Solanum lycopersicum: one gene and its partner. The protein of the gene in region 2 interacts with the protein of the main gene of each other region in a biochemical or structural test. Links are inferred from orthologs where the notes say so. Each region holds a gene or a part of one and is shown on either strand. Other genes may lie near its edges. The genes, in order: protein ABSCISIC ACID-INSENSITIVE 5 and E3 ubiquitin-protein ligase KEG.

Region 1 (4,472 bases), on a different chromosome or scaffold from region 2:
TTGCCTCCTTTCAACAACTTTCTCTACTGGACCGTCTAGTACACGTTTTCGCCCGCCTCTCATTCCTATTTCCAACCCGTATTGGCCCCCGCTATCGATTTGATTTACGCATAGTGCATCCGACGACACGGGACTTAGTGGCGACCCCATTCCGGCTACGCCTTGCACTACTTGCCCGTAGCCAACCCCGCTACCGTTTCCCATTCTACCACCGTAGACGGGGGTTGACTGTTGTGGGAATCCACTGCCTCTTTTCATGCTCATAGGGTACACAGGTGCCTCGACCACCCCGGTTTGTGGAAGTGGCGGATAACCGGGAATGGAGACACCGACGCCAACACCGCCTGTGACTCCACCGAGGCCGATAACAGGCCGAGCCATGGCGGCCATAGTGGGATTTGCACTGTTTGGATACATCATATATGATTGCTGCTGAGGAGGTGCGGGAGCTGAATTGCCCTGTTCGCGTACGACCCCTGCTTTAACCAAGAAATCTTCGAGCGTCATTTCACCGAACGTAGCCTGTCGTTGAGTGGAACTTCCGTTACCGGTGTTCTGTATGTTGCACCCGTTGTTCTGTTGCTGCTCTTGCTGGGTCTTATGGATTTCTGACCAAACTTCATCCACAGTTTTACTACACAACGGTGCAGGAAGCGTAAGCGATCCCTGTCTTGGCAAGCTTGGCTGCTCGACAATAGCTTTCTCCAACGAAACATTTCCCTGTCCTAACGCAAAACGTGGGGCGCTAGTTGCTTCCCCAGTACTTGCAGCCTGGCAGTGAGGCTGAGCGTGCGCGTGGGCTTGATTTTCTTCAGCAGTCCAAATGCTGTTAAGAAATTCATCCATGTTCATCGACCCAAAATTCTTCCCACTCTCGCAAACAGTGTGTTGGAATTCGTCAAGCGTGAGCGAGTAAATCGACGCTTGTCGACCGAGTGACGGGAATGGGTTGTTCTTGTGCTGGTTTTGGTCTTGTTGCAATGGTGATTGAACCTCACTTTGAGACACCATCTCTGATTCTGGTACTCCCATGTTATTACGATTCGGATCTTTAACTAGCGACCTGAAAAATGCGTATATCAAACAATTGAAATAAAGAAATGATGATACACGTAAAATTGTAATATTACAAACGATGTACATCTATCATGAAAAAAAATAAAAATCAAGCTCAAATAATACAAAGTTATAGGAAGGTAGATTTTAGTACACATAGAATCTAACATCTACCCGCGCCCGCCACGATTTTCACTAAGCGATTCAAAATACTAAGATGTTAAAACATGAAAAAGATAAGAATGCTACATAAATGATAACTTACCCCTACTTGGCTCCGCTCTTGACGTCTACCCTCCAATAACATAATGAGTACTTACGAATACATAGTTGGGTGGATCGAGTTCATCTAAATCCAGTAGCTAAAGCTTAAACTCCGTATATGTACTAACAATTCCATTAACGTTTAAATCCTGAATCCGCCTTTCATATCGTCTTCGTCTATTTCTCCTCCCAAGAAAATTAATAACATAAGAGCCTAGAAGGGACCTTATGGTTCAAAAGATGAAGTGTGAATAAAGCAAAAACAAAATATATATTTACATACTATATTCAATTAATTTTTTTTATTAAAATAAATATACTTAGTGGGTCTAATCAAAGTGGACAACAAAAGAAGAAACATATTCTTTGGCATGTGGGCTTAAAATACCTTAGGAACTTTCCACTTTTGTTTAATAATTTTTTTATTGGACCATAGATCTAAAAAACAACTTTTTTTCTTCAATTGTTTTCACACATTAATTATTAGTACTAATAAACAAGATGTATTTAGTAAGATTATTAAAGTTGCCCAAAAGGAAAGAGTAAAACAAACAAATCGTGTGATCACGAGGTCAGAGGTTCGAGTACAGCATAAGATTGCATACGAATCTTTGTAATCCTACCCTTTCCCTAATCCGAAATACAACATAAGCTTAGTGTACCGAGCTGTAGTTTTTAATGAAAGTAACCGTGACATTATATTATAGTTTATTTACAATCTTGAAACCCTAGCTATAAATATCTTAAATAGAAGAAAAAAGATATCGAATTTCCCCCCAAAATTAAATCCTTTTAATAGCTAAACCTTAAATACTATATGACTAATATATCATAGTGTAAACCCAATCTATCCATTATTAATTTATTATTTGTATATTGCGATCTTAATTGTTCAATTGATTGACTATCTGAACTTTATCTGAACTTTTACTTTGTTTGTCCAATGTGTTACACATCAATCAAATCATATCCCTTAATAGACATCAATACCCCACCCCCACCCCCCAAATACACAGTACAAGACTCAGTGTTGAAGATATTACTTATCGATAAGATCTAGCTTCCCTGGATTGTACTTATTCAGGTTCGAGTTTTTAAATAATTTTTTATTAATTAAAATGGTGCTAGACACACTGTGTGGTAGTGGTATAAATTTACAAAACAAACAAAAATAAATGAAGTGTTACAATCTTCAAATCATTATAAGCTCAATACAAAGCTAATAAGACTAATTTAAGAAAAAAACATCAAGACAAAAAAGGTGCACATTAAAGTACAATAAAAATTAAGAAAATAAAACTTAGGGATACCTTTTTTCTTGATTATTTTTTCAGCTCCACCAAGATTTTGAAGTCTCTCAAGAACTTATCATCATAACCACAAACAAAAATAAAATACAAAATTAAAATTAGAAAACTAAATTATTATTCTTTTGTTTTTTTTAAGAAAAAGAAGAACAAAGGACACAACTAAAGATGATAGTACTATGTATTCTCCTTCATTTTGGTCACAATTTTATTTATTTTAAAGACTGGTTTTTTGTTTTTGTCTTTGAATTTTTCAAGGGGGTGGGGTGGGGGTGGGGGGTGGGGGGTTAAGTGGGGTCCATTTTAGAAGATGTAAGCAAAAATAGTGAAAAATTGTACTCCTAGTACATAGAAATAATTTTAGGAAGTCTTGTAAAAAAACCAATACTAAAAATAGGAAATTTTGGTCATGCATGGAGAGATTGACACGTATTAGACAGGTGTTATTTTGGTAATCGTTAATTTAGGCTCTTACTTCACCCTACTTCTCCACGTGTCCTTTTAAAAAAAAAATAATAATTCTAAAGGGTTAAAAAAAAAATAATGTGTAAAAAATAATACTTTGCATGCTTTCACTTTTCATCTTTTCACTTATAGTGTTACCATAATCTTTTTTTTTTCTTTTATAGAAATTAGTATTTTTGACCAAAATAAATAAATAAATTATGTTGATCATTTTGTTTGAGATCATCTGAAATGGTTTTATTTGAGTTAAATATTCTCTAAAAATAATTATTTTATCTTTATAATGAAGTTTGATTACGTTCTATTATTATTTGTATAATTTAATTGAGTTTGTTGTTGTTATTAGTAGCGATAGATAACGTTAACAACCATTCATAAGAAGATTATATTATATAGTCAGGTGAAAATGTATTTTTATGTATATATTACTTGTAACATTTTTTATTTCTTAACCCAATTTTACTTCTTTATATTTGCCATTTCTTAATTAAATTTTTTTGATGATTGTTGTAGTTTGTTTGAGAAGTATTTAATTTTGTTTTAATAGTTGTTAAGTAATTAATTGTGTCTGATTAATTTTCTTTTAAAAGTATTTTTGAATGTTAAATTTTGAAAAATCATAATTATTATCATGAAATATTCTACTATTATATTTTATTTTATTATTTATACAAAGAGTTAACTCACTTTTTCTAGCTATAGTTTGTTTATTTTAGAAAAAAGGTGAGGGAGAAATTAGAGGAATTAAGAACTGTAGAAAACAAAGTAAAAATAATTATTCTTTTTATAATTAATGGATTATGTCAAAGAGGAAAAGAAAAAGGACGAGATACGGAAAATAAATAAATTTATGATAAGATATTTTTATATTTTAAAAAAAATAATTATTTGCTTCTACTTTTTGAAAAAAATATTGTTTTTGCCCCTTAAAATTAATCTTTTTTTTTGGTCATGTATTTCAAATCTAGAAAGATCTTGGGTAAAATATTGTTTATTTTATGTAAAGTACAAACAATGTTGTCTAAAAGATCTTACATTATAATTTAAAACTATAAGTTCAAATCTAACTTTTATTGAAAGTTTATTTAGATGATTGTCACATATATATGATAGTTCGTTTGAAAATATTGAACTCAGATAAACTCGTTATATTAAATGACTAAATTTATTCGTAGCTAGATTGTATTCATTCGTTTTATAAGTTATGTTTTAGTTTTATTAGATACATTGTTTTAGAAATGCAAACAGACAAAGAAACATTATAGTATGAAATGAATTGCAAGGTACACATATTTTCCCTACAAAGAATTTGTCTACTATGGAATTTGAGGTAAGTTATTATCGAGTTGAGTGCTTGAATCGATGATTTTTTTTTTTTTA
Region 2 (4,565 bases):
GAATATTAACCATGTCAGCTGTCCGGGTATGAAATTTAAATTTCAACCATGTGTTTCATGAGGTAGACGGTTATAACGCATTTAAGCATTTTCAGATTGGTACGGTTCTTTTTTAAAAAACAAACAAACTGGGAACTCAGATTGGTGCAGAATTCTCAGTTTGACATTTGATCTAGTTATGTTTGACCTGGTTTAGTGAAACATTAGAGTTGCACCTGCATTTTGAAGGATCAATCTACATTACGATGTATCAACTGATACACAAGTGAACTGTTCAGTGCACCCACAAGGCCCCAGCTAGCATAAACGACTGTGTATGATTTGTGAGAACAATATCTTGGTGTAGGTTCACGAATTCATATATCAACTTGTATACCAGTTTTCTCGTTACCCACCATACCAATGAACTTATCATTTATCAAAAATAAATATCAACATCTTAGTGTGGCCTAATAGTCAATGAAGTGGGATAAGCCATGAAAGACCAACTTTGTACTGGGGAAAGAAAGATTGAGTGAAAAGTTCCCCACTTTGTACAGCTGTTCCACAAATAAAAAGGGAAGGTGATAACAAAATTCAAACAATGGTTGGCGGTTGATTTTCAAGAGCGGCCTCAATGATTCACTGAACAATGCCAGTTTGGAGGATAACAAGGAATATTCATTGATATGGGCAGCATGCAATGACGGAAAGTTCACAGCCAGAAGATGTTATAGTCTATAACTGAAACAAAACGAATTGTGTTGCACAACGGCCTTGGAAAGCAACATGGAAGTCAAGGGAACCTGTTAAAGTTACTTATTTTGCATGGGTTGCAGCAAAAGCTTGCCCAACTAGGGGAACTTACAGAAGAGAGGAATCGCTCTTAGTAATAGATAGTATATGTGTGAAGAGGAGTCGGAGACAGTCAAGACTCACTCTAAGGTAGCAAGACTGTGTTGTGAGCTCTTTTCAAACATGACTGGTGTCAAGTGGATAATGCCTCCTGATGTTAAGAGCTTATTGAGCGAACATCAAGAAGTGATAATGTAAACGATATGTTTGGAGCACAATCCTTTTTTGTGTTTTATGGACAATAAGGTTGGAAAGAGATAGGATCTGCTTTAAGGAAAAGACAACATATATCCAGGATTAAGAATAGATATCTATTAAATATGTATTTTTTGTGTAAAAGGAGTATTATGGCAAGTATGGAGAAAAATATGGACTTAATAGAAGAGACATGAGATATGCAGTTGGCATGTTAGTGATTGACGTTGTTTTTCAGTAATCTGTATCTTCTTTTAATAAAAGCTTAACTTATTCGGGGAAAAAAAAGTAGTAATATAAATAAAATAGTGTTTATTTGGAAGCTGTTTTTAAAATTCCATTCTTTGGTTCATATTTAATATGGTCAACCTTATATCATTTGGTTCAATATAGGAGCTCTAAGTCTCTATTGCTTACTATATTTTCTAGAACTCTTGGTTTCGTAGGAGCAAGTCAGAAAGATTGAGAAATAGAACCATCAATTCATTCATTCTCAATAGCAAATACTTTCAGGACATTAATAATTTGAAATGTGTGTCTCATACCTAATACAACAGATGAGAAGTGCCATTACACTGACTGATCAACACGTGGTATAAGTTGCCGATATAATCAAGGCGATGCTACTATTTTTTTCCATTCTTGGTATCTTTTATCTACAAATACATGTATTTACTCAAAGTTTGAGTGTGTGGAAAATCGGGTGCAAGATAGTGACAAAATTCAGCTCTTGACGAGCATTGCAAAGCACGTGTGATAGATTGAGGATGTGAGTTTTTTCCCATAATTTAAAGTTCTAATTACACCAATTCCAGTTTTTTACCTCCAAAATCTGGAACAAGAAAATCAACAAGGTAGACCAAATGGAAATAGGAGTAACCCTCAATCCAAGACACAAGAAAAAATCAGAACTTTTACCTCAGAATTTGCTCAAGTGTTAGTCGCCCTTCATTCCGCTGCATCTCCGTCTGTACTGATCCTTTACACCTATCCATAATCAAGCACAAGCTTCTTTCCAATTTGGTCACACCATGGAAAGCACACACATTTCTACACCACATAGACTCCCTCCTCAACCTCTCCAACTTCTCTTGCACCCACACCACATCCATTTCCTCTCCAACTCCCACCTTCTTCACTGCCACTTTATGCCGACACCTCCCACGGCTACCGCTGCTTCTACCAGAAACAGTTGCTGCCCACATCTCCACTCCATGCCTCATAGACTCACCCCCTATCCTCCTAATCAACTTAACTTCCTGATGCGAACCCACCTCTATCCTCCCACCCCCACAGCCGGAGCTTGAAGCTGCTCGTGCACCATGCCTCCGCCTTGAATCATTCTCCTCATCTTCAGCATTCTCATTAAAACCCCTCTCATTTTCCTCTTCTTCATCCTCATCATCGCTCGAATACCTGGAGTCCCGGATTAAAGCTAGGATCGCGTAGTTCTTCTTAAGGGCAGTAACAGAGTTTCCGACAAGGGATACATGGCGGCACCTGGGACACGATAAGCTACTATCCGGGGAAGCAGAGAACATTCTAGAAAGACACTCCCTGCAAAACCCATGACCGCATTGGAGTAGTAAAGGGCAACGCTCCTCCTCGTCATACCTATTCTGACAAACTGAACAACAAGGTACTCTCATAATACTACAATCAAACAAAGAATCAACAACTATAATTTATATTTAAAAAAAAAAAAAAAAACGCCTCAGAGAAATTGAGATTGTTGAATCCGGGTCAGATTGATAAATGGGAAGTAGGTACAGATATGTACTTGCAGATCCACGGAGAAACAAGAATGTAGAGAGAGAAAGATTAAGGGTTTTAGAGAGAGAAAATGGAAGGTGGGTGGGGTTAATAGTTGAGTTGAGGAAGAAGACGGAAGCTTTACTGACCGATTTTTTGTTTTTTTTTTATTTATTTTATTTTCAATCTCCCCTGTAGTTAATGCCCGGGAAACTTTTATCTACGTACAAATACTGAACCGTATAGTACAACTTACTTAATGCACGCTTAGCTCTCTGTGAATAAATCTTCACTTGCTAATGAACAGTACATTTATTAAGTGGACTTACCCTCCCGTTAGTTTAAGATTATTTTGAGGTCTATCGATAATAATTTTTTTATTTTTTAAGTTAATATTTATGATTTGATCTGCTAATTTAAGGATTTATTACAGATAAGTTTAAATTATTAGCTTCTTGCTTATCTCTAATTAATGATGGATGGTAAAGACCTCCGCATATATTATTGTGAAACGATATTAGGCATATTATTATTATATCTTAAGTGGACTTACCATAACTTTACATAGTGAACCTATTGTGAAAATTTTAAAATAAAATAATAAGTTACTGTAATAAATTAAATTGAATTGTCTATATAAAAAAAAATTATACATTTCATTTTAAATTTGATAAATAAAATATCAAAGAGTTTTCATTAGCCTTGATGGTTGCTTTACAGAGGAGGTTTGTTTAAGCATATAGAATAATTAGTAGAAGGTAATTCATTACTAGGAGCTCATATTCAAATTAAGAACGTTTAATCTCAACTATTTTATCATAATTCATGTGGTCTTTATTTTATTAAAAGTAATATTACTTTTAGATTCTAATTATATATTTATAAATCATTGAAAAAATTGTAATTAATGCACTAAAGCATTGCATAGAAGTCTATAATATAAACCATTTTCTTTTATAATTGTCTTGACGAAATTAAATCATATGCGAAAAAATTGAGGTGCTTTGACTAACAAAAAATTTGAGATATAACTATGTTTCTTGTAACTTTATTGTCCCACTAGTTTAGTAGTGCAAAATTATTTGTCTAAACATGCACCTTGATATATATTTATTTCAGTACGATAGAGAATGTTATTTAAAAAAATAATAATAATAATTTCTTATTTTTAGTTTGATAATTAAGTAGAAAATATTATTTTTAAAAATACTTTTATGTAATTTAAATAAAGAATACGAGAAATATAAGGAAAGTGAAAGATAGGAACCAGAATACGAGGCTAAATGTAAAAATGAAGTGTGTTAAAAAGAATGAGGATAACACAACTATCACTAGTGAAATGGGTCTTCAATACTTTCATTATGATATAATTTTCCCAATATTTCAAAAAGATTGACTAACGGAACGAACACGCCTTTAATGCTTATTGTTTCTCATTAAATATAGTTTATATTTCCCAAGAACTCTTCAAGTATTAGCATTTATTTGGCTCTTTTTAAGTATGGAGTACTTTCAAGTGTTAAATAGCATATGAGAAAAGGAAAAGAAAAAAAAAACTTTGGGCAGAAAGATCACAATGTCTGAATCCTACAAGTAACCAACATACAAAAACAAGTACAAAAATATTCTTTTTCTAGCGTGTTATTCTTCAACGATCTGCCTAACCCAATCAATCCTGTCCTAAATTATTTGATATAGTTTGACAAAACATAAATTTCAGAGAGAACCAAAGATATTTAAAAGATCAGCCAAATATGAATTAAATACCAATCTGTCCTTGTACC

Evidence for each region.
Region 1: the proteins of E3 ubiquitin-protein ligase KEG (region 2) and protein ABSCISIC ACID-INSENSITIVE 5 form a complex in vitro, tested with the Arabidopsis thaliana proteins (2 studies listed by BioGRID, with this or other methods). The link is inferred for Solanum lycopersicum from reciprocal best matches to the Arabidopsis thaliana genes KEG and ABI5.

Annotation. Positions count from the first base shown.
Region 1 is NC_090808.1:3,413,284-3,417,755, forward strand, and holds the start of protein ABSCISIC ACID-INSENSITIVE 5, read right to left. Parts: upstream 2,853-4,472; 5' UTR 2,631-2,852; intron 1,607-2,630; exon of another isoform or gene 1,322-1,606; intron 1,064-1,321; 5' UTR 1,033-1,063; coding exon 1-1,032. UniProt on the Arabidopsis thaliana protein: Participates in ABA-regulated gene expression during seed development and subsequent vegetative stage by acting as the major mediator of ABA repression of growth.
Region 2 is NC_090800.1:83,435,399-83,439,963, forward strand, and holds the start of E3 ubiquitin-protein ligase KEG, read right to left. Parts: upstream 2,955-4,565; 5' UTR 2,679-2,954; coding exon 1,948-2,678; intron 1-1,947. UniProt on the Arabidopsis thaliana protein: Mediates E2-dependent protein ubiquitination. Acts as a negative regulator of abscisic acid signaling. Required for ABI5 degradation, by mediating its ubiquitination.